4 linked regions of the Rhinolophus ferrumequinum genome follow. The protein of the gene in region 3 interacts with the protein of the main gene of each other region in a pairwise test. Links are inferred from orthologs where the notes say so. Each region holds a gene or a part of one and is shown on either strand. Other genes may lie near its edges. The genes, in order: SPZ1, SNTG2, DTNB and PPFIA1.

Region 1 (5,764 bases), on a different chromosome or scaffold from region 3:
ATTGTATCAAAAAACTCATCACCAAATACAGAGTCACACAGGTTTTCTCCTAAGTTTTCTGGAAAATTTAGTTTTGTATTTTACAGTTAACTCTATGTTCCATCTGGAGTTAATATGTTTGTAAGTTTGAGGTATGTGTCAAGGTTTATTTTTTTTACATATGGATGTCCAATTTGTGTAGCACCATTTATTGAATTGCCTTTGTATCTTTGATAACAATCAGTTGACTATGTTTGTGTGTGTTTATTTGTATTTTGTTCCATTGATCTGTATGTCTATCCTTTCACCAATATCACTATCTTGATTACTATATCTTAGAGTAAGACTTAAAGTAAAGTCATTTGAGTCTTCCTACTTTTTTTTTCTTTTTCAATATTGTTTTGGCTATTGAGGATCCCTTGAATTTCCATATGAATTTTAGGGTCATATTGTCAATTTCTGCAAAAGAGGCAGCTGGGATTTTGAGATTATGTTAAATCTGTAGATCAATTTGGGGAGTATTGCTATCCTAAAATCAAGTCTTCAAATTCATCAGCATGAGATGTTTTTCCATTGATTTAGATCTTCTTTAATTTCTTTCAACAATACTTTATAGTTTACAGAGTGCAAATTTTGTTAAATTTGTTCTTACATACAGCTGATTCTGGTTATGTGCAGTAATTATGTTATACAGTCGCTGCCAACATTGAATTAGGGAAAATAGAACTACTGCTTCTAAGGGAAATACACTGTTAAATTCTTGTGAGCCTCTGGTCACATTTTTGTTAGTCACAATGTAATTTGTGTTATATAAGTTTGTTTGCCAGCGACTTGGTAAAACAAGCCAGTCTCAGCAGCTTTGAAAAACTGCTCTTCTACATAACCCTTTTGCTGTATAACCATGAGCATATATTTAAAAATTCTCCCACAGCCTCCTGATCTGCAGAGCCTGCCTCCCCTGGAAATTTAACAAGTGAAAGACAGTTTGGGGAATATAATCAATAATGTAAAAATAAATAAATAAATAAATAAAAATCAATGCTTCATTATATACAATTCATGTGCAAGCTGTTTGTTTTACTTATTTCTCTTCTTTACATTAATCTACATAATTCCACTTTGAATTTTTAGCCAAAATAAATTTGCGTGTTACTTAAAAAAAGACAATAGGCTTGGACTCCTGCTCTATCTATAACCATTTGTAACTGTGGGAAAACACTCAGAATCTCCACTCTCAAACTCTGAAGAAAATAAGACTGTGGATGAGAATATCTACCCAGTTTCACTAATTCGAGAATTTAATAAAAAAAAAAAAAAAACACAAAAACGTTTGTGTAATAATTTTAAAGTCCACAGCACCATCTGGAGGTCAAAGGGAAGAAGACATGTTGAGGAGAAGGGTTAATATCCCTGTCCCCCTATGTCTGTATTTTGCTTGTTTGAATAAAATTTCACATTTTCAAAAAATTTCTCTTCTAAACTAGCTATACACAAGTACTATACTACATATAAAAGCAATCATATAAGTCATTATGTTTAAAATCACACCCTGCATAGAATCCCTTGTGCATGTAAAGACTAATCCTCGAATAGTCATCTGTAATCAGTTAAAACAAAACAATTGGACAATTAGAACAATTACACAAAATAAAAACACACCTCATTATACCAAAAGAATCCCATCATATTAAAATTATTTATACATATTTGAGCAATAAATGATAGTATTCATTATAACCCCTAAAATAAAATAAATACAGGAAAAAAGGCAGCTCTTCTTTACAAAATAATTCCAATCAAAAAATGTAAAAGGAATGAGAAAAATAGAAAATCACCATTAGCTCAGCACTGCAATAATCGTTGCAGGCAAGATCCACTCCTATATACTAAAATTATACTGTATAGGCAAAAGTTTGAGGAGAAACCGGATAATTTCAGCATCTCAAAATATCTCCCCCAAGATATTTGTTAATTACAAAGGGAAAGATAGTGACTTTATAGTGAATAAATCTAGCAGATATCCCTTAGTGAAATGACCGAGGTTAACATCACCAAAAATAAGACATATTGACATCATGTACCCTTTGATATCACTTATATTTTTGTTTAAGCAAACTGGTTTTGGGGAGAGAGAAAATTCTATACAAGTTTCATCTCTAATATTTTTAAAAACAGTTTTTGCATTTCTTTCTTAAAAGCCATTAAGCTACAGGAAACTTAATAGATAACAATTGTAAGACAAACCAGATGTACTTCATTTCCATAGTTATCTACTGGAAATATGGGTCAATAAGGAAAAGAAGACCACTCTGAATATCTTTTAGCATCTATAGCAAACTCAAATTTCAGTAAAGTTAATAGAAATATTATTTGAAACTCCATTATATCTGTAAGGAGGAAGAAAATATTTAAATCCTCTTTTGATGAAAGGAAAATAATTCTTTTGGTACCTTGACCCAGCTACTCTCAAACCAGTTTCCATAAAAATCAAGGGTAATATCAGATTTATGTCCAAAAGTATAAAAAAGCTGCAAGCACAAGAAGAAAATAGAGAATACATTTTCTTTTCAAGTATCCATGAAAAATATATGAACATTGATAATCTATTAGGCCAAAGAGAAAATATCAATTTCCAAAGGTCTAATATTATATTTTCTGATTACAGTACAATAAAGCTAGAAGTTAATATCAAAATCAGAAAAAAATAGAAAGTTTCCTCGTCTTGGAGGTTAAAAAACTATAATAAAGGATGGCTTGAGTCAAAGGGGAAATACCAACCAAAGTCAGAACTTATGAGATGGAATTAAAGCATAAGGGCAATTACTAGCCTCTATGGTATCATTGGGTGAATTGCAAAAGCTGCTCCCTGTTCAAGGGGAAAAAAAGACCAACACTGCTGTATCTGTGGATTGTCATGAGGCTATGGCTCTGAGCCAGCTGGCTGGGAGATGAGAATGAGGCTCAGGGAAATTTAAGCCAAAATGAGTCAGTAGCTGTGAAAGAAAAAAACATAAACTTTTCTTCTTTAAGGAAGAAAAGGAAAAAAAACCTGCTAGAGTATGAGTTTTCCCTTAAGACTGGAAACAAACATCTAGTTAGTAAAGTGATTGCTAACAAGATTTTGAAGGCTAGGAATGTGTTCTTTGATTGAACTTAATATTCACAAGGTAACTTCAGTTTCTTTTCTATAATATAACCCAGTATAGGGTTTAGCTGTTTCAAATGCTTTCGATACATTATGCCATTTTAACAAGTTCTTGTGAAAAGTAATGATTGAAGTTTTGTATCACCTGACGTAAAGGACTTAGGAGCACACTTAGTAAGCCTATCTTAAAGGATACAAAGCCAAGAAAAGTCCCAGTTTGTAATTGTGTTGTTAAGGAACCATTCACATGGTCTGTTCTTACTCAATAGAATATTTTTGAATGGAGCAATTCCTGACATTATTTGTCTAAAATCACAAAAAGATGAAGTACTTTGGGGGTTCTATTTTGTAAAGATAACTCTTTTACAGTAGCATCTCTCCTCCAATGGAAGCAATAAGTTGTCCAGGTGCTATGAAATGATGGGGAACGTCACCAGGAGGGCTCCTCTCAGCCATACACTTAGGAGGTAGAAAGACACTGCGTGTTAAGGTTGGGGTTGTGGGCGGTGGGAATGAGGTAGAAAGTCATTAAATACAGTTAGAATGAGATGAGTAAAAACCTAGGAAAGTTAAAAGAGGAAAACTGGCTAGAGATCTTTCTGGAATGAGGAGTAGGATTAGCCCAAGGTTGATTTTGATGCAAGAGTCACTCACTGGGTGGGGGGTTAAGAGGCTTCTATTGTGACACAAAGGAAACAGAAGCTGGGGAAGACCTGGTTGCTAGGGTCAGGGGAATAAACACCAGAAGCCTGGAGGAGGAGAGATGGGGCCCTAGCTCTGGGTCCTCTCTCTCACCCCCCTCCCCACTCCGTTGTCTGCGATGTCACCTTCCACGTGAATATCATCTACATGGTTTCAAACCTTAACTCTGGTCTCTAACTTCTGCTTAGTTCCACATGCTCTACCCATTTGCACAGAGGACTATCACCTCTCCTTCCTGGAATCTCTAAGGTTTTCTGTTTTCCTTTTGCCCTGATCACCTGCCCTGCTTACTCAGCTGAGATGGAAGTGCCCACCGTCTCTGAAACTCTTAAACCTACTCCTAATCTCAATCAAGAATCTTTGGACCCTAAGATTGTCATTGCCTTACTTGGATCAACTCCTCCTGTCTCCTGGAGTTCTCTTCTTTCCCTAAATAATAGTTGCCAACAAGAAACTGAACAACAGACTGAAAAGAAGTTTGAAAATCTCTTAAAAGAAATTAGAGATATTCTTAAATATATGACAGGTTATGAAGACAAGATCACAGAAGCAAAAGAACTTTTTGAGGAAACCAATATCTTTGAGGATGTGTCAGAACTTAAAGAAGAAATCAGAGGACTTGATAAAATAAATAAAGTGCCATCAGAAAACCTGCTTGGCTGTTTATATGTAGACAAAGAACACAGGGCAGAGAAACAGACGATGACATTGGAAAACCAGAACTCAAAGGACACAGTGCAAGGTTTTGCAAGGAATTTGGTAAATCATTCAGGAAAAAGAAGAGCTTGCAATGAAACTCAACTACATAAGGAAAAAGCAGAGTATGGATTCCATCACGTTCAAGAAGAAAATATCAAACTTAGGAACAACATGGATCAGTTACTACGGGAAGCAGAACGCTGGAGTGTGCAACATACGGAGCTTTGTGGACTAATAAAATCATATCAGAAATCTCAGAAAGACACAAGAGTAACTCTTGAAAATCATGGAGTCCATTTCCAAACTCAACAGAATACTGAGGTGTCAGCTAGTTATGAGCGAGAGGCACAGGTGAGGAAACTGAACCATGACATGTATTCATTGCATTTGATTGCAGCTTTGCTGGAGAATGAATGCCAAATCTTACAGAAGAGAATAGAGCTTCTCCACCATCTCCATCATCAGAAAGACGGAACTGTGCAAGAGAAGCCAATTCAGATAAACTATGAACAGGACAAGAAAGAACAGAAGCTATCAGAAGCAGAGAAGGTAGAAAGGTCTAAGCAGAAAACGCAAGAAATGGAAGGTACGTTTCAGAAAAGAGACAAATTCTACAGAAGCCTGGATGCTTGTCATAATAAGAAAGTTCGTAAGAACAGTTTCAATACTCGTATTGCAAGAAGAGTTCTTGTGAGAAGAAAGAGGCCAGCTAGTACCTAAGATAGAAAATACAAAAAGGAGAAAAAAAAGGCAAAATTTTTCAAAAAACTATGATTCATCCAACTCCAGGCATCATCAATCATCAAACCTAGAGTAGATCTGTTGGTTCAACCGAGAAAGAGCTATAGAATAAGATTAACATTATTTGTTACCTCAGTAGTTACATAAGTTTGGTCTTTAATGGCTGTTAGTGTCAACATCAAGTTCATAACTTGTCACCTTTACAATTGGCTTGTTTTGGTAGTTATTAAATAGACATCCCTTGACACTTTAACCAAAAGTGTGAAGTTACATGTCCAATTTAGTAAAGATCTAAATAAAGACCAGAATAAAGGAAAGTTTCTTTTTATTTAATCATGACCTGGGGTGTGGGGGCGGGGAGGTGAAGTTCTGGGGGAAAAAGTATATAACAATTTAATTGTGAATCTTCAAACCTCATTTTCTAAATGTAAGTTCCTTTTTCCTATTATCCAATGAAGTGTGGGAGGTAGTGGAGTTAAAAAAAAAAAAAAAAAGCTG
Region 2 (7,671 bases), about 16 Mb from region 3:
AGCTCAGTAAGTGTGGCTTTGGTCACGCAGTCCAGGCTCCTGCCTGGAGTGGGGGTGGGAGCTGTGCTTTCAGCCTGGCGGCTGTCGTCCCCGAGGCTGGTGCCCACATGTTGCTAATCTGCTCCTCAGAGTGCCTGAGGGCGCAAGGGCACAGAGGCCAGGGGAGCGAATGACTTGGGGTCCAGAACCCTGCCGGGTGCACGCGGGCAGCACTGGGAAGCAGCCAGGGTCACGGACGAGCTGGAGGGCGTGGTGGGCAAAGGAGCCGGAGTGGAGAACTCTGCCCCCCGCAGGGGCCTCTGTGAGCACAGTGGCCACGGAGCTGAGGCTCCAGGAGGAGGAGCCATCATCGGTCATTTGCTTGGATTTCATCTGAGGACGTCGCGTCCTTCCTGAGGGACTTTGTCCCAGCCACAGCCCCTGCAGGAAACCCGAGTGCCTGCCAGGCGTCCCAGGTGTCCCACGTTATCAGGCGCTTAGTCCTGCTTGTTCTTGGTTGCACTTAGGCTATGGCGTGTGTCAGTTTTCCTTAGAAATTGGTCCAGACTGGATTGAGAATGGGGAGAGGTGACATGAAAATGTTTGTCTTGTCCCTGCAGGACACCTCCTCCCTGGGGCCTGGAAAGTGGGGAGGGTGATGGTGTGGAGCCGTGTGTGACAGGACAGCAGGTGACACAGGACCAGTCTTGGTGTGACTAGGAGGCGATGCAATGGGCTGCCCTAGCCTGGTGGGCGACACCTGTCCTTGCTTGTGGCCGGGGGCAGATGTTTTCTGTGAGCTGCATTGTCACTGAGTGTTTGGCATTTTAAAGGCGAAACTTTATCAAATTCGTGCCTTTAAGAGAACAAAGGTTTTCCCCTTGTTTTTGGCTAATAGCATACGCTCATGCTAATGGGAAAAAAGACAAGAACGTCCTGATTAGTGATGGAAATGGGACGTGCAGGCCCTTCCCTGAGCTGAGGGGCCTCACCATCCTCGTTTCCTGCTCGGGTCACAGGGACTCTGCTCTCTCTCTGTGGAGACCACAACCAGCTCCCGCCCCTCTGCTGAGCATAGCCCACCTCCTGTAGCCGAGCTCCTGTCCCAGGCGCTCATCCCCACCCCCTGGGCCACCTCCGACCTGCATCCTGGCCACTTGTCCTGCCATGCGTGCTGTCTCATCTGAGTTGCCCCTGCTGCAGCTCTCGGGCCGGCCTCACCTCCGGCGGGTGGTGTTCCGGGCGAGGGAGGGACGGGTCCTTTTGTAAATGCTGAGGTTATGGCACCGGGACAGCAGTTTTCAGTGTTGGACCCCGGTGTCCAGCCTGCACGTCCAAAGCTTCTCTCATGATGGGTGAGTGTCTGGTCACCTGGAACCTCAGCCTTGGGCTCGGACACATGTCATCCTAGCCTCCTGCGCCCTAAGCAGAGGGGCTCTTCACGCTGCTCTAACCTGTACACCATGGACACCCTGTCCTTTGCCGCAAGCGCTGCTGCCAGGATATGAGTGTTCTCGCTGGAATCAAAGGAGAGGGCAGTAGAGTTGGTGTACGGTAACTCACTGGGCTTGTTTTGGAAACGTCCTCCTAAGTCAAAGGAAAAAGTGGGTGCACTTTTCCTGGAAAGTGAGCTTAATGAAGTTTGTGTTCCTTTTAGAGACATCCTATAGGCTGAACTTACTCCTCAGCTTGTAACTTACTAGTGAGCAAGTCTGCTTTTGAGGTGAAGCCGTCAGCTCGTTCATTCTTGCAGGCTGAGAGGAGGTGTCTGCCATGTCCCACGGGAGACTTGGGGGCCCTACACCCTGTCACAGTTCGCTGGCCTCTTCCCCTCTCCTGTTCACTCGAGACTCACACCAGCCAGACACTGACGCCGACAGACACGGCATGCTGGGAATTTGCATGTCCTTGTCGGTGACCCGGTGACCCGACAGGTCAGGTCTGGAGACGGAGCCCATTGACAGCTTGAGGAACTCGAGCTCACGTCCCTGTGAGTCTAAGGGTTACCGTCTGGGTTTCAGGGGGAAGCCAGCACCTCAGACGGGGTTCAGTCCTGAAGTCGTGTGTGGCTGTGAAATAGTCACATGTTAACGGAAGCTCCGGGGAAGAGGGAAGGGAGGATGGAGATTTCTGTTCTGTAACATTTGAAAAAAGTAACCTGTGGCTTTATTCCAAATCGATGAGCCTCTAAGGCTTTCTGTGCCCCAGTGGACCTGCTGTATCAGGATATTTGCGTTCAGGAACTCACTGAGTCCTGCTGTATTTTCTTCTCCACAATCCTCTTACGGCTTTGACTTAATCGTGAGCTGCGACGTGAGGCAGTCTCCCCCTTCCCCCAAAAGCCCCGTCATATGAGCCAGCCCCAGAAGGTACCTTGGAGCCTGGAAAACGTGTCTGCCCCACGAACGTCCGAACAGCACCAGGCAGGGTGGTGTCCCGGCCGCCTGCAGAGTGGTGTCTTCCTGGGGAAGCGGTGGGGGGGCGGGCTGCTTCAGCTTTCCCAGGAATCCTGAGACCAGGCAGCGGCTGTAAGAACAAGCCCCTTAGTTCTTCATAACCATCAGCGAGTGAGAGACGCTGCACAACTCACGCTGCCCTTCGCTGCAGTCGGGGAGGGAACTGACTGCTGTACTGAGGCCGTCAGGGAGGGGGCAAGGGGTGTCCTGTGGCTCCCGGCTGTTCCTGGCAGGAGCCAAACACAGTGGTAACTGGCTCAGCCAGGGTGAGTGTGTGGGGTGAGCCGGGCGGGGGAACGAAAGCACGTCTGAGGCTGTCCTGCAGAGCACAGCACAATTTATTGTGTGCTGGACTGAAAAGCAAACAAATGACTTTTTATGAAACAAAAAAACTTCTGCACTCGCAGAAATAAGTAAGAAGCAGAAAACACGTAGAAATCAAATTAGTGATATTGAGAAAACTATGATTTCTAAGAATACAGAGGAAAAGAACATACACAATTATGAGAAAAAAGAGATATGGAAGATAGAACAAATGATAGAAAAAAGTGATGAGATTCTTATTGAAGAAATTAAAGAAATGGAACAGAAGCCATAATCAAATTGCAATTACAAAACTTTCTGGATACAGTGTTTATTTCTGACACCTTCAAAGATACACGACTGACATTGGGAATATTAATACATGTTAATGTATGTTGCGTTGTGTAGGGGACTTTGGATAATGACCTGACCCATCACTAGAACACACACACAGTAGTCTCACTGCCCTAACCGTCCCCTGAGCCCAGCCGGCTCATCCCTGCCCCCCCAACCCCGGGAACCACCCATCCTTGTGCTGCCTGCATGGTTTCGCCTTTTCCAGAATGTCGTAGAAAGGGGTCATAGGGTATGTTGCCTTTTCTGACTGGCTTCGTTCATTTATTCTTTCAGCATTTAAGGTTCCTCCATGTCCTTCATGGCTTGAGAGCTCATTTCTTTTTACCTGAATAATATTCCATTGTATGAATGTGCCACAGTTTATCCATCACCTACTGGAGGGCATCTGCTTGCTTCCCAGTTGGGGGAATTAAGACTGAAGTTACGTTAACATCTGTGTGCAGGGTTTTGTGGACGTAAGTCCTTAACTCCTTTCAGTAAGTACCAAGGAGCGTGGTGGCTGGGTCATATGGTTAGACCGTGTTCAGTTTTGTTGGACACCAGCAAACTCTCCTCCAGACGGCTGCTCCATTCCGCGTCCCCAGCAGCAGTGACTGAGGGTTCCTGTGGCTCCACGTCCTGCCAGCACTTGGTGACGTCAGGGTTCTGGATTGTGGCCCTTCTGATAGGTGTGTGGTGGGGTCTGGTCGTTTTCATTGGCGTCTCCCTGATGACACAGGTTGTGAGCTTATGTGTCACCTGCATGTCTTCTGTGGCAAGGGGTCTGTTAAGGTCTTTGCCTCATTTTTTTAATTGGGTGGTTTGTTTTCTTGTTGCTGAGTTTTAAGAGCTCTTTGTCTATTTTGGATAACAGCCCTTCTTCATACGTGTCTCGCACGTATGTTTTCTCCCGGTCTGTGGCTTGCCTTCCCCTCCGACGGTTCTTCCACAGAGCAGACGTCTTTACTTCTCATGAAGTTCAGCTTCTCAGCTGCCTCTTCCATGGTCGTGCCTTTGGGGTCGGATCTAGGAAGTCGTCACCATGGTCACGGTCATGCAGGTTTCTTCCTGTGTAGCCTTCCAGGAGTTCACAGTTTTGCATTTCACATTTAGTTCTCTGATCCATTTTGAGTTGATTTTCGTGAAGGGCAATGAGGTCTGTGTGTGGATTCATTGTATTTCACGTGGCGTCCAGTTGTTTCAGCGCCATTTGTTGAAGAGACAGTCTCAGCTCCTTGGTCAGAGGTCAGTCGACTGCACTTAGTGGGTCTAGTCCAAGGCTCCAGAGGCATCGAGTGCCACTCTGGTGAGTGACGTCCTCACCAGCCAGTGAGGTTCTGTGTGGGGGGCGTGGACCCACCTCCCTTCTCCCGCCAACTGCTCTCTGCCCCTCCCCTCCTTCTGCCCTGACACTGCCCGTCTGTGTCCTCCACTCACCATGCCCTCCTGCGGCCCCTGGGCACCTGCGGCCTCTTGCTCTGCCCAGAATTGTCTGTCCTCCCCTCCTTCTCAGGTTCCTTGGAGGAGCCTCTCCTGAACGCGCCGGCCAGGCCACCCCAAACCTTTGTTCAGAGGCCCTTTATAAACGGCGTGTGTCTGCGGCTCTGCTAGTCACTGGACACCAGCCTGGATGGGACAGCAGTGTGGCTTCTCTGTGACTCACGCTGACCACGCCTGCTTGTCACTTGGTGGACGCTCAGTACAGCTGGCTGAATACATGATAGGATGCGGACTAGTAACAAGGGTTTTCAGGACATTGACACAGGACTATGGACGAGCGTCAGGGGAGAGGAGTTCCAGGTTTGTGGAGCAGACGTTGCTGTGGTCGCTGAGAACCGGGTGATGAGAACCGGGGCCCCCTGCGTGTGGGGGGCTGGGGGCTGGACCCCGACTTCAGGGCCAGACACAGGCGGCCTGGTGGGCAATTGGAAAGCACAGCAGCCGAGTCCTTAGCGCCTGTGTTTTACTAGAGGTGACACTGTCATCGTTTCAGGTTTAGTGACGCGTGAAGAGAAGCCCGGATTTCTGTGCATACTGTTCAGCCTCCTCTCAGATCTTAATCTGCGTGGTTTGGCCTGAGGGGAACGTGAGGGCGCAGGACGGCCTCTCAGAGAATTTCCAAGGAGGCCTGAGTCATGCAGGCTCCCGAGGCGGCTGCTGGAGTGGCAGCTGAGCTCGCACCGTGCGTGGGCTGTGATTTTCGTCCTGGAAACTTCCCGAGTCAAGCTCTGTGCTTAGTGTGAATCTGGGGAAACATGACTTTTTCTTTGTACTTAGCTTCTTAGTTATTTCTCAAACGAGTGCCTATAAATCGCTCTGCTTCTCGCTTTCATTTAGTCCTAGTGCAGACTGCATTGCAGAGCCCTGAATTCCCAGGGAGACTCCGCACTTAATCAGTGCCAGTCACGGCCCACATTACTTTGTCGAGGATGCGAGCTACTGCAGAGCAGACGTTGTTGGAAACGAAACTTTGCCGAATAGCAGTGCCCAAGCACAGTCCCCTAAACAATGCAACAACGTGAAATTTTAATGTTTTAAAAAATTATACCTTGTTTGTTTTTAGTAGCGCTTGACGTTACTGTCATGTGACAGAAATCCAGTCATTAGTCTGTGCGGTCCCAGGGAGTGATGTTCGTAGGGTTTCAGTTTCAGTTTTCACCACTGGCGTCTTTAGCCTTTTGTTACTAACTGAAAATAATTGTCGTCCTTGCCGTAAAGCTGAGAAAATTTTCTCAGTAAACAGAATTTGATGTGATCATCAGCTCGCTTTATACTCAACTGATTTCTGACCAGATTTTCTCTGTGCAGACAAGCTGTATGTGTTTCACCTCTGTCAGTACGTTTTTATTCTGTCGCTCACTTGGTCTTTGTGGTTAAAACGAAGGCTGATGTGCTGCGATTACTGTAAAACTGTCCAGGGTGACGTAACTCAATACTAAACTCGGGTCTTCACTTATTCTTTTAAAAATGAAGCTGTGTTGTTTCGTAACATGCTTGACGTTGCGGTTCAAAGGTCACTCCTTTTCTAAAGACCTGACGCACAGCCAGGCCCTCACACAGACATGTCACGCCACTTGCTGACAAGACTTTCATTCTTTCGACTGCTCTCAGTGGTAGTGACGTGACATCACCCTCCTGACCAGCTTCTAGTTACTTCTACGTTCTCCTCGTGACGGCCGTTTCGCCCGAGCGTCTTACACGTGAGTGGCAGGAGGTGGAGAAACTAGGGAGGGCTGGCTTCTAATTTTCAGTTTTGCTGCATTTAAAATATGGCCAGTGTCAAGCCAGTCAACCCCCGTGGCTCAGTTTCTCCAATTGTAAAAAGAGGAAGCGGTGTTAGAATCTTGCAAAAGTTCTTCAAGCTCCAAAATTCACACGTCGGCTTGGAGATGACGTTACAGAGATTACTCAGCCAGAAATGGAAATGTCGGCTATCATCATGCGAGTTCCCTAAACACATCTTACATTGTCAGTTCCTAGAATCATGGAGTGACATCAGGCTAAAACAGTGCTGCTTAATCCTTGGGAGCCTGCAGGTCTGAAGGGGGTGTGTGTGGTGTCTGGACCGTGGCTCAGCGGTAGCATGGCAGTGCACTTAGTGGGTCCGCGTCTGTTTGGGGACACGCTTGCTTTCTCAGGGCTCTTGTCACGACTGCAGCAGCATTTGAGGTGATGTGGACACATGAGTGACCTATCTCTGTCTTACCTGTTTCCTCTCCACAGGAAGACCACTGCACTTTATCCCCCCCACCCCCCCACCCCCCAAAAAACCAGTGACAGAAAAGGGGCAGCAAACTTGCCTCTTCCCCATGTTGTCATCTGAAATGGGGATAGGGAACAGGACCGCTTTCTGAGCCGGGAGCCAGATGTGTGTATGGGCCCTGCTCACACCTGGGTGCCCAGTGGGGCAGGCAGGTGCCGTGCGCCCAGGTAGGGGTGGCTCGAGCGCACAGGCGTGTGAGCGTGACCTGACGGTGGGGGTGTCACCTGCGTCCGTGCTGTGACGTCATAGATGTAGTTTAAGGCTCAGGGCGGTGTGTCCAGGAGGGCGCGTTTACTAGGGTGTGAGGAGCCGTGTCTACCATGGCCTCAGAAGCAATGACAGGCTGTTGGGCCACGGTGATGTGAGCACGTCACTGTCCATCACGTGGGGCCACGCGCAGGTCCCTGGCGGCGGCTACGCTCAGATCAGACCTGGTGTTCACACTGCACGTGCCGACGTGACCCCCTCTAGGACTTGGTCCCAGCAACAAGGAGAGAAACTTGAGTACATTTTAAGCTGTTGAATTCCCTCTTATTTGGAACTGAGCGTTTTGTAACGATAAGGAAACATTTACAGTCATAGTGTTTAATATGAAAGGTCTGTAGAAGAAGGAAAGATGTTCTAGGCTCAGCCAAAACACCAAAATATTTCAAAAAATGTAAGCGTGAACCAAGTTTAACCTATGAGAAGATTCCTAAGTATCCTCCACATTATCGGTTGTGCCACGACTTTATTGTCAGTGGGTGCCAGGACCGTGGACGGGACCAGAGGTGATTTCAGACACGTTTTATTCGTTTCACTGCCGCGTTCTCCTCCAGCTGTGGTTGCGACACT
Region 3 (7,557 bases):
TCCAGGCAGAGGAGGAAATGCGTGAAAATGCCTTGTTTAGGGGCCTGCACTCCCTCATCCCCATTCCTGTTTATTACCTTACAGGAGTCTTGGCCCTCCTGTGGTTCCATTAAGAAAATAACAAACACTGAGCTTCATGGAGAAAGCTAGCTAGGAGTCCTTCACAAAGGACTGTGGGAACCAAAAATTGGTAATGTGTGATAAGGGACAATTTCCCTCTAAATATAGAATTACTAGCCTGAAATTAGCTGCCAACCAGCCGTCTTTGAGTTCTTCTGACTATTCCAACTCTACCATTTGGGTTTAATTCCTGTTCACATACAGGCCAATGATAGTTTAACATTTCTCCCTTTATACCACTATCTAACTCTTCAGAAATGTATTTTTAAAATTATGGTACAAGAAATTTTACAGGAAAACAAAAGGAATTTGATAAATGTCTCTTGTATGTATCACTTCAACTTTCCTGGCTTTTGTCCGAAAACTTATCAAAGTGTAAAACTAACTCACAAAGTTAGAAAACTAACTTATCAAAGTTGGTCTCCTACCCTCCCACAGAGACGGGGAACCAGGGATCCTTCAGGTGTTTGCTGGAGCAAACAGTAGATTCCTTGGGCAGCCTTGAGCTTTCTCAGGCAGGGGCTTTATAGGGTCATCCCAAGGAGGTGGCCTTGAGCCCTTAGAAACTATGTCAGTGTTTGTTCAAGTCTTGCTAGGCCAGGATTGAGGCCTAGTTGAGGAAGGGCTCAGAGGAGCCGGACTAGAGTTTGGTGAAGGAGACGATTATTGTTACCCTCCAGATGCGTTTCCTGGTCCCTCGTGACTTTCCAGGCCCACGTCCCAGTCCTTCGAGAGCCTCGAGTCTGTCTGTTGCTCTTGGGAGCCCTCAGATACCTCTGTATTCTCATAATAAAATTTCCTGTATTTAAGCTAATTGGCTGGAATTCTGTTCTCAAAAGGAAGCCATCACTAAGACAAATCACTTTACCTGTATGAACACAACCCACATACTTGTCATTTTTGGTGCTTAAATGGCCATTCTTTCATGGTAATGTATCATAGCCTGTTTCACAATGACTTGGGTCATTTCCAGAGTTTTATGCTTATTGATAGTGACTTTTTTCCTCCTTATATAAGGTCAAAAGCTGTGCTGAGTTCAGAGCCCTTGTTACATTGCTGCCAGCTTCCACTCCAGCTTAAGTGCCGCCAGCCACACTTCAGGGCATCGATTTTCCCATAGCCCCATCTAAAGAGTTCCATTTTTATTTATTTTGGTTTGTGTAAGGATACCTGGGAGTTTCCTTGGTATTTTTCAATTGCGAATACAATTTTACGAGGTTAAATTAGATAACATAGACCCTAGCAAAGAGCCTGGCATATAGTAAGCTATTATTATGATTAACAGTGATTGAGTCAAAAATTGAATGTTGACCTTACATGTTGGTGTGTTTGTGTTTTTTCTTATGTATTTGTTGGGGGTTATTTCTCTTTTTATCCACTGGGTCTCTCCTTCTCAGCCTATGTGTTGCCTCAGGGCTGAGGCCTCAAGTCTCTTTTCTCTACTCGCTCTGTAAGTGATTTCATTTAGTCTCGAGTCTTTATAACTATCTGTATGCTGGCAACTCATATTCAGAGCTCCAGCGTGGACCTCTCTCCTGTACTCCAAACATATCTAGCTGCCTATTCAACTTCTCCGCTTGGATGTGGCACCTCGAACTTAACTTAAACTTAGCTTAAAGCTGAACTCCTGCTCCTGCCGAAAGCTGTTCCTTCCATTGCCTTTCCCATCTCAGAAAATGGCAACACCACCCTTCCATGTACTCAAGCTAAAAATGTTTGAGTCTTCCCTGACTCATCTTTTTCTTTCATACTCTACAGCCAGTCTCCAAGTCCTCTGGGCACTATCTTCAAAATACACCCCGAATCCAGCAAGTTCTCCCCACCTCCACAGTCACCACTCTGGCCACGACACCCTCATCTCTCACCTGCAAAATCTTCTAACCGGTCTTCCTACCATGTTTCCCTGGTGATAAGACCTACCGCGAAAATAAGCCCCAGTTAAGATCGTCAGCCAGATGGACACATTTAGTACGTTATGACAATGTTCCAGAAGAAGATGACGTGATTGTATTTGAATAAATGTAGATTGTTATACATGAAAAAATAAGACATCCCCTGAAAATACATCCTAATGTGTCTTTTGGAGCAAAGATTAATATAAGACCCGGTCTTATTTTCGGGGAAATACGTTACTTGTATGCTTGTCCATCCTCAACATTTCACCTTTGACCTTGGCCTTCCTCCTGGTCATGCGAAGCTTGCTATAGTCCCAACTTCATGGTGAGCTATAACAATGTGCAGAGGAAAAGAGGAATCCTCCAATAAGAGTGAGAAGACCATTTGCAGAAAGCTCTCCAGCAGAGTTCCTCTCACTTGCCCATCTCTAAACCAGTCACTGGTGAAAACAATAGGATTACTGGAGAAGACTAATCAGGCTTCTCCCTGAGTTGGAAATAGGGTTATCTTCTCTGACAACTGAGCCTCTGTTTGTTGAGGAAGAAATGGGGGAACACCCAAACAGAGTCTGCCATGATGTGGTAGGTCAGAGAGTCCATAAGAGTCCAATTACTTTTCTTAACTTGGTGTCAGTGGCCCTGTAGCCACAGGCCTTGGCCATATACAAAGACGAGGTCTACCTGACCAAAGAAGGGATAGGGTTGTGGCACGTAGCTTGGGTGTCTTTCTGCCAACCAGGAGATTCCCACCTTTCTTTCTTGGGACCTCTGTTGTGTCTGCTTGCTTGCAGGCCGTGAAGGAATTCACGAGTCAGGTAGAAATATAGAAGGAAGATTTATTAAAGTAAGAGAAAAGTCGACTGGGCAGAGTCTGCTGGAAACTACTGCAAACTACTGCATCGAGTCTTTGATCTCAAGTTTTATATTTTCTAACCAGGATGTAAATTGCTTTGGCCTATACTGGAATTTTCTGTTGATGTCTGCTTTGTCCATTGGGGTGGGAGAAGATTCAGTTAAGCTGATTATTGCAACCTTTGCATAAGTTATGTAGATTTAAATTGGAGCCAGGAGAGGGGATCCCATACAGATGCAAAACCTCTCCCAAGTCACTGGGCCAGCACTGGGCTGAATAGAAACATTGACACTGCATAGTAAATGTACAGGAAGCAGGAATCATTAAGAGGCAAAGAAAAGAAAGCTTTCAGAAAGTCCTAAGCTACATTACAGTTGTTAAATCAAATTATACCAGAGATCCAAATCTCAAAATAGAAGATTTAGTGCCACCATTACAATCCCCTGTCTTAACAGTCCCTTTATTTCAGCTTAATGGAAGAAGGTATTTACTTATTGTATTAGTATCCTAGGGGTACTGTAACAAATTACAACAAACTAGGGGCTTGAAACAACAGATATTTATTCTCTCACAGTTCTAGAAGCTAGAAGTCTAGAAATCAAGGTGTTGGCAGAGCCATACTCTCCCAAGGCTATAGGTGAAAATATGTTCCATGCCTTTCTCTTAGCTTCTGTCTCACCAATGCTTGGCCTTCCTTGGCTTAGAAGAGTGTCACTCCAGTCTCAACTCCATTGTCACATGGTCTCCTCCCTGTTTGTCTCTGTTTTCTCTTCTTCTAAGGACATAGCCATATTGAATTAAGGACCTATCCTACTCCAGTATGACCTCATCTTAACTAATTACATCTACAACTTCCCTATTTCCAAATAAGGTCACATTCTTAGGTCTGGAGGTTAGGACTTCAAAATATCTTTTTGGAGGACACAATTCAACCTGTAACACTTATATTTAATTAAAATTTAAATTCTCTTTAGTTCTTTTCCAATCTGCAAGTCTTATCTTTCATTTTCTTGCCTATTTTTCTGACCTATAAGCAACTATAAGTTGCCCTCTATGCACTGCATTAGCTGCATCCCATAAATTTTGGTATGTTGTGCTAAATTTTCTTTAAAAATTATTTTATGTTAAGGCTTGACTTGAATTTGCTATGTAGGTATTAGTTACTGAAGTTTTGAAGATAAAAAGAATGTATAAAATAGGTTCCTCACCTTTAATGAGTAAGGGTAATTTACTGAAAAATTTAATAAACTAGCAGCCATGAATTAAGGATGATGGTATTTTTAAAGAGAGTGTACGCTGTGTATTAACTTCCTTTCTTTTCTGTTAGTTGTTCATGCCTAGGTTGTGTCTTACCATGGTGCTAACAGGGCAAAGCTTGATTCCATTGCATATCTCCTGTCAGTTACTAAATCACAGATGCTGTGTGTAGGAGGAAGAAGCCTTAACAGACTTTATAATCTTAAGACTACATGTGAAATTTTCATTTCAGTGTATCCCTGTTTCAAGTTTTATCTGTGAGCCAGCAACTTTTTGTTTAGTTAATCGCCTCCATTTTACGGAACCATTTTTTTTTTTTCTGGCAAAAATTGTGTTTATTAACTGCCAGCGACTGAGACAGAGCATCACAATAGGGGATTGTGCCACGGAGCAGCTGCCGAACAAGGAGCAGGACGAGGGGTACATGTCCATTACACGCTGAATGCAGGTTGGATATGTTCAAAGTTGTACCGTCTCTGAGTGTCTGTCTTTGTGTTTATGTTTGTTTTTGCGGGATGTGGGTGTGTGTGTGTGTGTATGTGAATGAGAGAGAAGGAGAGAGACAGAGAGAGAGAGACAGAGAGACAGAGAGAGAGAGAGAAGTGCGCTCGTAAGTGCAGAGAAAAAAATGTCTGGAATCAGTCTCCCACAACTGCCCTGTGGAGTCACACGGGGGAGATGGAAAGTAGTGCTCTTCTGTGCAGAGACACCTGAACATACCTGGTTCCTGAGGTAAGTGCCTGGACACATAGGCAGAAATAGACCTTAGGGATATGTGTTAGTCATCCATGAAACACGAACACCTGACGGAATGTTAGACGCACTGTAAGAAGCATCGTGCTTAGCGTTTCACGGTGGTGAACTTTTCTTTCACTTGCTTGAGGCCTGATGGCCAGAGGTTCACAGCTTTGCATATGTTCATGAAAGGCCACCAGATTCTTCTTCATGTGATGGGCTCGTGTCACATCCGGATTTAGTCATCTTCCTTGGGGTCACTAACCTCTTCACAAACAACTCGGTTCTTTCTTTCCCGCAGCCTGTGGGCCCAGACACTAGACTTCACTTTGCTGGGTCCTGACATCTTCTCAGTCTCCTGACCAGAGGAACTCACTTCTCCTGGGTACACAGCTTTTTCGGAGCCGGCTCCGAGGCAGGCGTTACTGGTAGTGGCATCATATCATTTTCTTCCCTTGCCGGCTCCATGGGCTTCTCCTTCTCATCTTCTATCCATTGCACATCGGAAGCCTCTTGCGGATTTTCATCCTGATTCCTGGGGCTCTGATCTTCGTCAGAATCACTCTCAAGAGCATTTGTAGACTGATTTGGAGAATGCATGAAGTATGGGCAGTTGGTATTGAGACCTAGAAGAGTCATGTAGTCGTAGTTTCTCTTCATGTACACATAGGTTCTTTTCTGTAAGTCTCCCAGCTTTGCCCATTCTTTCTTAGAAAAGTTTTTGGAAATATCATCAAAGGCCTCATATTTCTCCTGTGATTTCTGGGCATCCTCTCTGTGGCTCTTTGCCAAGGAGCTGCCTCTGTCCATGGCGCTGGGAATGGTGCGATGGCCAAGGGACACAGCGCGAGTCTCTCCAGAACCAAGGCCAAAGATCCTCAGAAGTGAGGTGTCAGTGAGGGGTCGATCCCCGCAGAGATGAATAACCGCAATTCAGTTACCCAGGGACCTTCGACCACTCGGAATAGTTAGTGAAGTGGATTTGGCCCACTGCAAGTCAGGATAATACTGGGGAAGTTGAGGCAGGAGTGGGGTCCTTACGGAACCATTTTTAAGACCGATGGGTGGAATTCATTCAATGATGGAGTATTTATATTCTTAGGATTCCTAGAGGCTGGAGGAGATATAGGCTGAAAGGGAAGCATTACAATGAGACTACATCTTTGTCAGACAGTTTCCCTCTGACAAAGATGCTTGTCTCACCTCCACGCAACTCTCTTCCCCAGAGCATCCAACATCACTGTGGTATTAAGCCTCTTCCAGTATGCAGGCATTCCCCTGCGTATGTCTTGTTGGCTTTCTCTGTCCAACAGAGTCCTCCAAATCTCTTATGAGTCTCAAGAACCGGTATTTTCTCCTACTGCCCTCTTTCCCCAAGGAAAGATGATTCTGTTGTTTCACTGAGTTCACTGTAGGAAAACTTGACATTAAGGAGAATATTTTTTTTTCAGACTGTGTTTCCTTGCATAACAACACCACTTGTTTATGTAATTCTACCCAGAAGTGGCCGGCCCCTGGCATTTCTCTCCTGGGGTGTTTATAGGCTGTTATCACAGCTCCCGTCACCTTACAGGCTGTGAAAGGAAATTGGCACTTTCAGCCTTACTTCTCCCTCCATCCACATACAGGCAGAGGCTGAAAATCTATCGCTCTGGAATGAAGTATGGGATGAGGCATGAAGCCACTCACAGTATAACTGAACCAGAAATGGTCCCAATAAAAAGCCAGATTTTTAGCCCTTCACACCACTTAGCCCAGAGTGCATCTTCTCTTGCTGTCAGTAGAGCATCTCCCAACCTGCTGCTTAAGCAGCTGCTCAGGGGCTGCTCATCTTCACTGGCCTCTGTGTCAGGCCATTAACAAGCTGTTTAAACAATAACAGAACAGGCTGCGCTTGGAGCTGCCAGCCAGCCGGTCTATCGGGGACTTCACTGGGAATGTTTTTTGACCTTTCAAGGTTAGTGAATACTCAGCAGTTATATACAGTTCTGTTACTGAAGGTTGCAGTCCTGAGTATTGCTTATTATCTTATAATTCAGAGAAGAAAAGGGACAGTAGAAGAGTAGTTTTTAATAACTGTCACACTATAACACATTTTTAAAAATTTCAAAGAAACAAAGGTGGTCACCACTCTTACAAGTTTCATTTTTTGGCATATTGTTTAGTTTTTCATATTTGTATAGCCATAATGATGTCGATATTTTCTACACTTAATAATGCATATTATTTAATATTCTTTTATTAATATTTCCCTAAGTTTCTATACAATCTTTATGATAATTTTAATGACTGCCTAATTCATTGCATTGACGAGTATCACAGATGCCATACCATTTCCTTGCCTGTTGCATATTTAGATTTTTACAGGAGAAGTCATTTAGTTGAAGAAGGTGCCAGAGAATGTAGTGTTCCTTAAGGAGGCGGTAAGGGGGCCCACAGAAGGGTCCCACTGCTATGTGAGGGCAATGAGTACCTTTGGGATGGGTTTGTAACAGGATGCCAAAAGCAAACTACTCACCTATTTGATTCGAGACTAATCCTGGTACTAAGTACTTCAACTCATGCTTTATCTTTAAAAAAAAAAAAAAAAAGAAAGAAAAACTTATGTAAAGAAAAAGGTGCTGAGGCATGTACTATTTTTAGTCCTGCATGAATCAGATGGTGGCCTCTCAGGGTCCCAGAGCCAGAGCCCACTGG
Region 4 (7,504 bases), on a different chromosome or scaffold from region 3:
TGCTCCTTCTTTCAAAAAACTACCTTATCAAATGCCTATTTGATTATACTTGACTATATGTTCCTTGAATTATGTTAAAACAAATATAATCACACACACACACACACACACACACACAAAAACTGAAAAGATTTACGAACACAATAAAATCCAGGTAAAACACAATTTGGCCAATCCTTTTAAGCTTCTTGTAATAAAATGTGACCTAAACAAACTTGGTAATTTAGAAAATAAGAATGAGAAAACTCTTAATGATTCTCTAATCCAAAAAAGGGAACATTATTGCACTGACATCAAATTATTGTTGCTAAAAAGGAAATCCAAATGCTTGGCTTATCAATCTTTCACGAGGACTGACTAAAGCCAAGAAACGCATCAAGGCTAGTAATTATTCATTTACTAATCTGCCACTGCAGCCCCATCAGGAGACTATAAATGTATGCTTCTTCAGGTCTACCTGGAAGCAAAAGGCACCTCTTATGAATAAGTAAAACGGCACCTAGACAGCTCATAAACACCCAAGTACCCTTCCTGTCTCCCACTATGCTCTGCGCCATTAACCTTACATTTCAGTTGACACTTTCTCCCTTCACCTATCATTAAATCCTCGCTCAGCTCCATAAGAAAAGGCTTTGAAACACTGGGCCAGACGTAATATACTTACATTAACAACTCCAGTGTGATTCTAAGCTTTATAATTCTCATCTGCCAAGGAGAAGGCTACAAAGGAATCCATCTCCAGTATTCTAGTCCCTAAACCAAATTTGATTTACAAAACACAGGTGTTCTGACGAAGGTAGGCTGTAAAAATATTTTTCCTGTGAAACCAATCCTATTTGTCCATTGAATGTCATTAGGAAACTGGAAATACAAGATACAATCCATGGGACATACACGTTTAGCACAAAATGCCTTAAGACAACAATCGAAAGGTACCACATAGCTGCTTCATGGCCCATTTTCAAAAACTTTGGAGAACTATCCCAAATCTAGGCAGTTCCTTCTGCTGCCTCGAAGAAAGGAACGCGAGTCATGAGGTGTTTTCACACAACTTTAGAGGACCACAGAGTTTGTTCTCCCTAAGGGTAATCCTCAGGACCTTCATGTATACGTGACTGACGTACAAATGCCAGAGCCATTTCACAAATGATTGTGCAAAATACTCATCTAAAATATCAACACCAAAGAAAACGACACCATAAAAAAAAATTAGTGGAAAAAAAAGTGTAAAGCTGCCCGTGAAAAGCATCCATACCTGTGGAAGTGCAGTGTTGAGCTGCCTCTGCAAGGAATCTCTTTCATGACCAACCTCGTGTAATTTCCCCTGGGTTAATGCCAGCGTTTCTTGAGTCTCTCTCAGCGTGTCAAGAAGACGGTCCCTCTCCTCCAGCATGGAGACCATCAACTGTTCAAAATGTGAATCTGCGTCTGGCTGCGAAGGGGAGCCGGACCCATGGCCCCCACTTCCTCCTGGGGGGCCTTCTGCTTCACTGATGGTCGGCATCACCTCGCACATCATCTTGAAACGAAAGACCCAGACTACAGTTATTAAGTGCCTCTCCCACAACTCTGCAAATTTACAGCCATCTGTAGCTAAAAAAAATGAAAGGCTGACGACCTCTTTATTCTCTTTATTCTCTGATGCCCTGAACATCAACAAGCTGGGAAAACATACACACGCAAATCCTAGGTGATGGAACATACAAGATAAAGGAAGACACAGACAGACAATAATTCAAGGAAGGGATAAAGACCAAAGACTACCCCTCGCATAAAGAACAAACCCTTGGTATTTTGTTTGCAGGGCTGTACTTCTAGTTGTTGAAAACAAGTGTGCTTCTGTAACCTATTTTTTTTTCCTATTTCCCGGTGGGGGAGAGAAAGTCAAAACACGTGCCACCCAATCACTTTTCAGGCAAAGCACAGAAGGCGCATACAGCCAGTAAAACTGACAAGTACAAAATCCATCAGGCATCTTACAGGAATGTGTGCAGTCAGCCCCTGGGAGGAACTGACGGCTCCCTGAAGGCTCGGGCTGGGTCTGGGGAGCCCTAAAAGGACTGGATTCGTTAAGGGTTGGGAGAGGAGTTTTTCAACGGCTGTAGTGGTTGGTCAGACAACCTAACTTATGTAAGTTAACAGAGCAAAAAAAAAAAAAAATTCCACAATGGAAACAGAGACGGTCGATACAGCCGTGGACGGCGAGGAAGGAAGGAAAAGTGAAAGATGAGATTTTGAGAGGCGACTAAGTGTCTCATCTATAACGATGGGGCGAGGAGCAAGGGAGCCGGTTCCTGAGGCTGCCGGCGGTATCCCGGGCTTGGCGGACCCCCGAGAGGGAGATGCCCGACACCGCGCACCGGATGGCGGTAACCTCCACCCACTCCCACCGCCCCTGGCGCTGCAGAGACCCCAGACCCCCGCCAGGATGGTGAGAACCACCTACAACAGCAGCGCTGCCTCGCTTGGGGCTTCCAGCGGCCACAGGTGCTTGTCCCCGGCGCCGGGGTCACCCGGGCGCCAGGGTCAGGGTTGGGGGCAGCGGGCGGTCCCAACAGCCCGTCCCTGAGGGCAGGGGCGCGTCGTCCGGGAGTCCCGGGCACTCGCAGAGCTCTCCCACCGGGCCCGGCGCCGCGGGCCTCGTCGCCAGCCCCCGCCCTCCACCCCCGGGGTGCACCCTTCACCCCGCGCTGACAGGAATCGGCCGCGCAGCCGCCGCGGGACGGGCCGGCGCCTGGGGCTCCGCTCCGCCCCGAGCCTGCCTCAGTGTCCCGCTGCCTTACCTTGCTCGCCGGCGGGAGCGGGCGAGAAGGCTCCGCGGCGGCTCGCGGGCGGCCGCTCGCTCCGGGCGAGCTTGGAGCCCGACGAAGGCAGCCCGCGCCCGCGCCCGCCGCCCGCCCCGCGCCCGCGGCCCCGGGCCCGCTGCCCCCAGTCACTAAGGCCGGCCCGCGGCCGGACACTGGCGGAGTGCAGGAGGAGCGGGCCCGGCTGCGCGACGCCGGCGTCAACGTGCCCGACGTCGGGCGCGACGGCACAGCGTCAGCGCCGAGCGCCGCCGACCCGCCCCGCCCCCCAGGAGGGGCGACGGGGAAAGGGCCGCGGCTGCCGACTGCGCAAGCGCCGCCTCCACAGGTGGGTGGGCTGCGCCTCCCGGGCGCCGATTGGATGGGCGCGGCCGGAGCCCCGCCCCTCCAGGCCCCACCTGTGTGCGGTCGCCTCGGCCCAGCAGTGGCTTCGGGCTCTGGTCCTCGTGCGCCGTCCGCATCTTCCACCTCTGGGCTTCCCCAAATTCTCCACCCACGGCGCGGGGACGCCAAAGCCGTTACTGAGCGTCTACTGTGCATCAGGTTCTGAGCCAGACACCTGCCCGACGTCACGTCTACACACCTTACGGGGGCGCGCGCCCGGGGGGAAGCCACCGGCTAGCGACAGGTCGGAGCCCGCGGTGTCACCTCCAGAGCCTCCTGGGAGCTGAGCCATGAGGACTCGGAAGGACGCGGTTTCTACGAAGACCCATTGGCCGAGCTCTACCTGCTGGGTTGGCAGAGACGGGCAGCGTTTGATGCTGGGGCTTCGGGGGCAGGGTCGAGAGGGCAGGCTTTGGAGCCAGGCACACCTGGTTCAACTGCCAGCAGATGCTTCTCCCTGCGATGTGTGCCTGGGCAACCGAGGGGAATTCGTCTGGGATTCACCTCATTTCTAGGGTGGGAAAATGATACAGACCTACCCCAGGGCTGGTAGCAAAAACAGAACATATGCAAAGAGCAGCTAGTCGAGAACCTGGCTGGGGAGGCGCTGTGTAGAATGGTAGTCGTTTTCATCCGACTCAAACATTTTTACGCATATTCACACTTAGGCAAGCTTTTGAAAACATCAGCTGTGTGCCACGTCCTGTGCTAGATGCCGCAGATACAGAGATTAACAAATACAGCTTTAATAAATAAAAACAGGTGCTCCGCCCTCCGGATTTGACTCCTGGAGCACAAACCTGTCACAAACCAGTCAGGGCACTGTTGCCAGGCACCAGTGGGCACTGTCCGGCGGTCCGTGGTGAGGCAGCCAGGAGCCCCTGAACTAATCGAGTTTAAGGAAAGGCTGCGTGGAAGGCTGGGTGAACCCTTTGGATTCCTTGATTCTCCACTGTGAGCCCAGCAAGTCCAGGTGCTACCTCTGATTGGCTTTCTCGCCTCCCGGAGTCCAGGACCACACCTTTTTCATTCATGTATTCATTCACTCTCGATTTATTGAGTGACTACACATCAATACGAATTTGCACCCCTGACCCAAGGTCTGAAATAGAGGAAAGTTTCCGGCTCTCCAAATATGTACCCGCTGAATTCATCCAGCTCGTATTTGCACCATGCTCCTAAAGTACCTGTCTCCTAAGAAATCGACAAAATACCAACATTTAGTTCAACAGGGTAGAATGTTCGTTTACATCTGAATGTCTGGAGGGCACTCTGAGCCAGGCATGGCCGAGGTTTGGGGAGCACAGAGTTAAGGCATCGCTTCCCACCAGTTCACAGCCTGGAAGAGAGAAGAGAAACAGACTATTGCAATGTTTGTCCTATGAACCCTGTGTGACTGGTGTTGTGGGACCCTAGAATAAGGAGGAACAAACTCTCCAGCTGGCATCACCGGGGCTTCGCAAAGGAGAAAACATCTTTCTGGTTTTCAAAGGATGAGCAGTTTCCCCAGCAGGGAAGGGAGAAGCCCGTGTGGTGTAGCTCCAGGGAAATGAGATCCCAGATTTCACTTATTTTCATTCATTCATTTATTCCTCCTCCCCTCCCCCAATCGCAAAATCACTAAGAGGAAAATGGTAAACCACCTAAATGGCCAACAATAAGAGATTGGTTAAATCATTGCACTTCCAAATGACAGAAAGCTTGGTGACGTTCACAATTATATTTTAGATAACCAGCTAATAATGACAGGCAAAATTCTGTATCTCGATTGTGGTGGTGGTTACAAGACATATGCATTTATGGAAACCACAGAATTCTACCTTACCATGTAAAGTGTGTCCTATTTTTTAGAAATGGGAAAAAAACTTTCTTAAAAACAGCAAGTTACAAACAAGTATACAAGATGTGATCAGACAACACAGTGAATGTTTAAATTTTAAAAATTATGACAGTAAAAGACACATTGCCATTAATCCCACTCAAAATACTCCCCCTCGTTTCAAACACACTTATCCCATCCTTCGTGGCACTTTCTGAAGCCGTTCTGGAAGTCCTCTTTCCTGAGTGTCTTTAGTTGCGCTGTCATGGCTGCCCGGATGTCCTGAATCGATTCAGACATTTTCCTTTCATGGTCATTTTGACTTTGGGAAGAGCCAGATGCCACATGGTGCCAGATCCAGTGAATAAGGTGGATGAGGACACACTATGATGTTTTTATTTGACAGAAATTGTCATATTCCAGAAGCGATGTGTGACAGAACGTTGTCATGATGGAGGATGATTTATGGCACACTTTAAAACACAACTTCTCTCAACCGTAGCTCACATCTGACTGATTACACCGAACAAGTTGAAACTTGCCACACACTGTTTCTAAGTTTCAATGTGCCATTTCCCGTATTTCTGGCTCTGCCCCAAAGTCAAAATGATTCAGGACATCAAGGCAGCCATGACAGCACAACTAAAGACACTCACTAAAGAGGACTTCCAGAAATGCTTCAGCAAGTGGCAAGAATGATGGGATAAGTGTGTTTGAAGCGAGGGGGAGTATTTTGAAGGGGATTAATGGCAATATGTCTTTTACTATAATAATTTCTTTTATTTAGACAGTCACCATATTGTTTGATCACACCTTGTATACAATGAGCCCAAATTCAAAAAAGCAAGCAGTCTGTGTTTAGATGAAGCATGTATTATGTAAAATTCACTTTGTACATTAAAAACTCTAGAATGTTATTAATCAAAATAATAGAATTTTCAGAAAATGAGTTTTACATGAAATGAAATATTCTTGAAAGTGAAATTAAATTTTAAGTCTCAAATTTGTAAAAGAAAAACATACACATCTATATGTGAAGATATTGTTCACATCTATATGTGAAGATATTAGTGTTTTATATTTCTCTATACAAACATATACATATATATTCTTGGAAAGAGATACATCAGGATGTTGGCACTGGTTGTCTTTGGGTGGGATCGTGGGTAGTTTTCATGTCCTTCTTTGTGCTGCTCTGTACTTTCTAGATACTTTATGGCGAATGTGCATTGTTTTTATTATTAGGGGGGAAAAAGCCCACAAGTGGTACTTTAATAAAAACTAGGCAAGAATGAACCATGGAGAATTGCTCAGGAAGCTAAAATGACTTTTAGGTGTCGTTATGTATACCACCCAGTTAAACTATCTCTGAACAACACTGCAGAGATTGGGAGGCTTCCTTATAAGCTTCAGTCGGGAAGACAATGAACGTGGAAAAAAAACAGAAGAGAATCTAATTCTTCTGTTAAAGTTTCGGTACAGAAAATAAGGTAATATGGGTGGTGAGGGGTAGAGTTTATTACTATGCCCAGGGTTGTGTCTTCACAAATGTGCTTCCAGCCTCGGCTCTGGATGATGTAGTCAGTTGTCAACTTTGGGTATGACCCGGCCACCTCTCCTTTCTAGAGAGGTAGGCAACCCACAGAGGAGGGTTCCTGTGAGATCAGAGTGTGTCATAGAGATGCGGATGTGTCTCGAGTTTATCTAGATTATGTAAGCAACCTAATGATGGTGGCGTGACAATGACACTGGGGGAAGTTCTGAGCTGGGAGAGCAGTGTGGGGGTGGATGGTGGGAGATGTGGCCCTCCCTTTAGGAGGAAGAGACCGAAGCCAGAGAGGCAAAAGGGCCTTGCCCAGAGGCACTGTCTTGGGGTAGAGATGGGACTGGAGCCTGGAGTGAACTGAGGGTGCCTAGTTCCTGAGTCCACCCCGCTTGGGTTTGCCGTGTACCCCTGCTAAGGTGGGGGGTCGGGAAATGAGGGGAAAGGGAAAGAAAGAGAGCTACCATTTTACTTATTCATCTCATTTAATTCTCAAACTAATTCCCCACGTGGCTTCCTGTATCTTTCCATTTTGCAGACGAGGAAACAGGTCAGAGTGGCCACTAAGCAGGGGGGTCATCAGCCTGAGTATCCCAGTTTCCAAGGCAGTTCTATGTCTCATGGTCAATCAGGTAACTGAAAGTTTGGACCACCGATGAGCCTGCTGGGAGTGAGCGTGGTGTGTGTCAATCCCCGAGAACATGGATGAGAAAACACATTTGCAGAGCATTTTACAGAAAAGCCCTCATTCGATCCCACCTCCTTTTGTGGAGAACACTGAGACTTGCAGAGAGGAGATAACCCGCCCAACACCCCACAGCCTATGATTTGGTAGAAGCTGGGCCTTGAACCCAAGACGGGCTCCAGAGCCAGGGTTCGTGATGCTACATCCAAAGGTGTCCCCAGACCCCCAAGGCTGGGGACCAAACCCCTGGACCTGCGCTGGGCCCCCAA

Evidence for each region.
Region 1: the proteins of DTNB (region 3) and SPZ1 interact in binary tests that used the Homo sapiens proteins (3 or more experiments, as listed by UniProt). The two-hybrid records come from large-scale screens. The link is inferred for Rhinolophus ferrumequinum from reciprocal best matches to the Homo sapiens genes DTNB and SPZ1.
Region 2: the proteins of DTNB (region 3) and SNTG2 interact in binary tests that used the Homo sapiens proteins (3 or more experiments, as listed by UniProt). The link is inferred for Rhinolophus ferrumequinum from reciprocal best matches to the Homo sapiens genes DTNB and SNTG2.
Region 4: the proteins of DTNB (region 3) and PPFIA1 interact in binary tests that used the Homo sapiens proteins (3 or more experiments, as listed by UniProt). The link is inferred for Rhinolophus ferrumequinum from reciprocal best matches to the Homo sapiens genes DTNB and PPFIA1.

Annotation. Positions count from the first base shown.
Region 1 is NC_046290.1:51,735,247-51,741,010, forward strand, and holds SPZ1 (spermatogenic leucine zipper protein 1), read left to right. Parts: upstream 1-4,123; 5' UTR 4,124-4,126; coding exon 4,127-5,245; downstream 5,246-5,764. UniProt on the Homo sapiens protein: Transcription factor that binds to the DNA sequence 5'-CANNTG-3'(E box) and the G-box motif. May play an important role in the regulation of cell proliferation and differentiation during spermatogenesis.
Region 2 is NC_046296.1:70,931,675-70,939,345, reverse strand, and holds the start of SNTG2 (gamma-2-syntrophin), read left to right. Parts: upstream 1-4,650; 5' UTR 4,651-4,799; coding exon 4,800-4,874; intron 4,875-7,671. UniProt on the Homo sapiens protein: Adapter protein that binds to and probably organizes the subcellular localization of a variety of proteins. May link various receptors to the actin cytoskeleton and the dystrophin glycoprotein complex.
Region 3 is NC_046296.1:54,567,579-54,575,135, forward strand, and holds the start of DTNB (dystrobrevin beta), read left to right. Parts: upstream 1-4,554; 5' UTR 4,555-4,573; intron 4,574-5,098; coding exon of another isoform or gene 5,099-5,285; intron 5,286-5,377; coding exon of another isoform or gene 5,378-5,670; intron 5,671-7,557. Other genes in the region: protein SSXA1-like, read right to left, coding at 5,099-5,285, 5,378-5,670.
Region 4 is NC_046294.1:3,075,953-3,083,456, forward strand, and holds the start of PPFIA1 (liprin-alpha-1), read right to left. Parts: upstream 3,002-7,504; 5' UTR 2,784-3,001; intron 1,520-2,783; coding exon 1,256-1,519; intron 1-1,255. UniProt on the Homo sapiens protein: May regulate the disassembly of focal adhesions. May localize receptor-like tyrosine phosphatases type 2A at specific sites on the plasma membrane, possibly regulating their interaction with the extracellular environment and their association with substrates.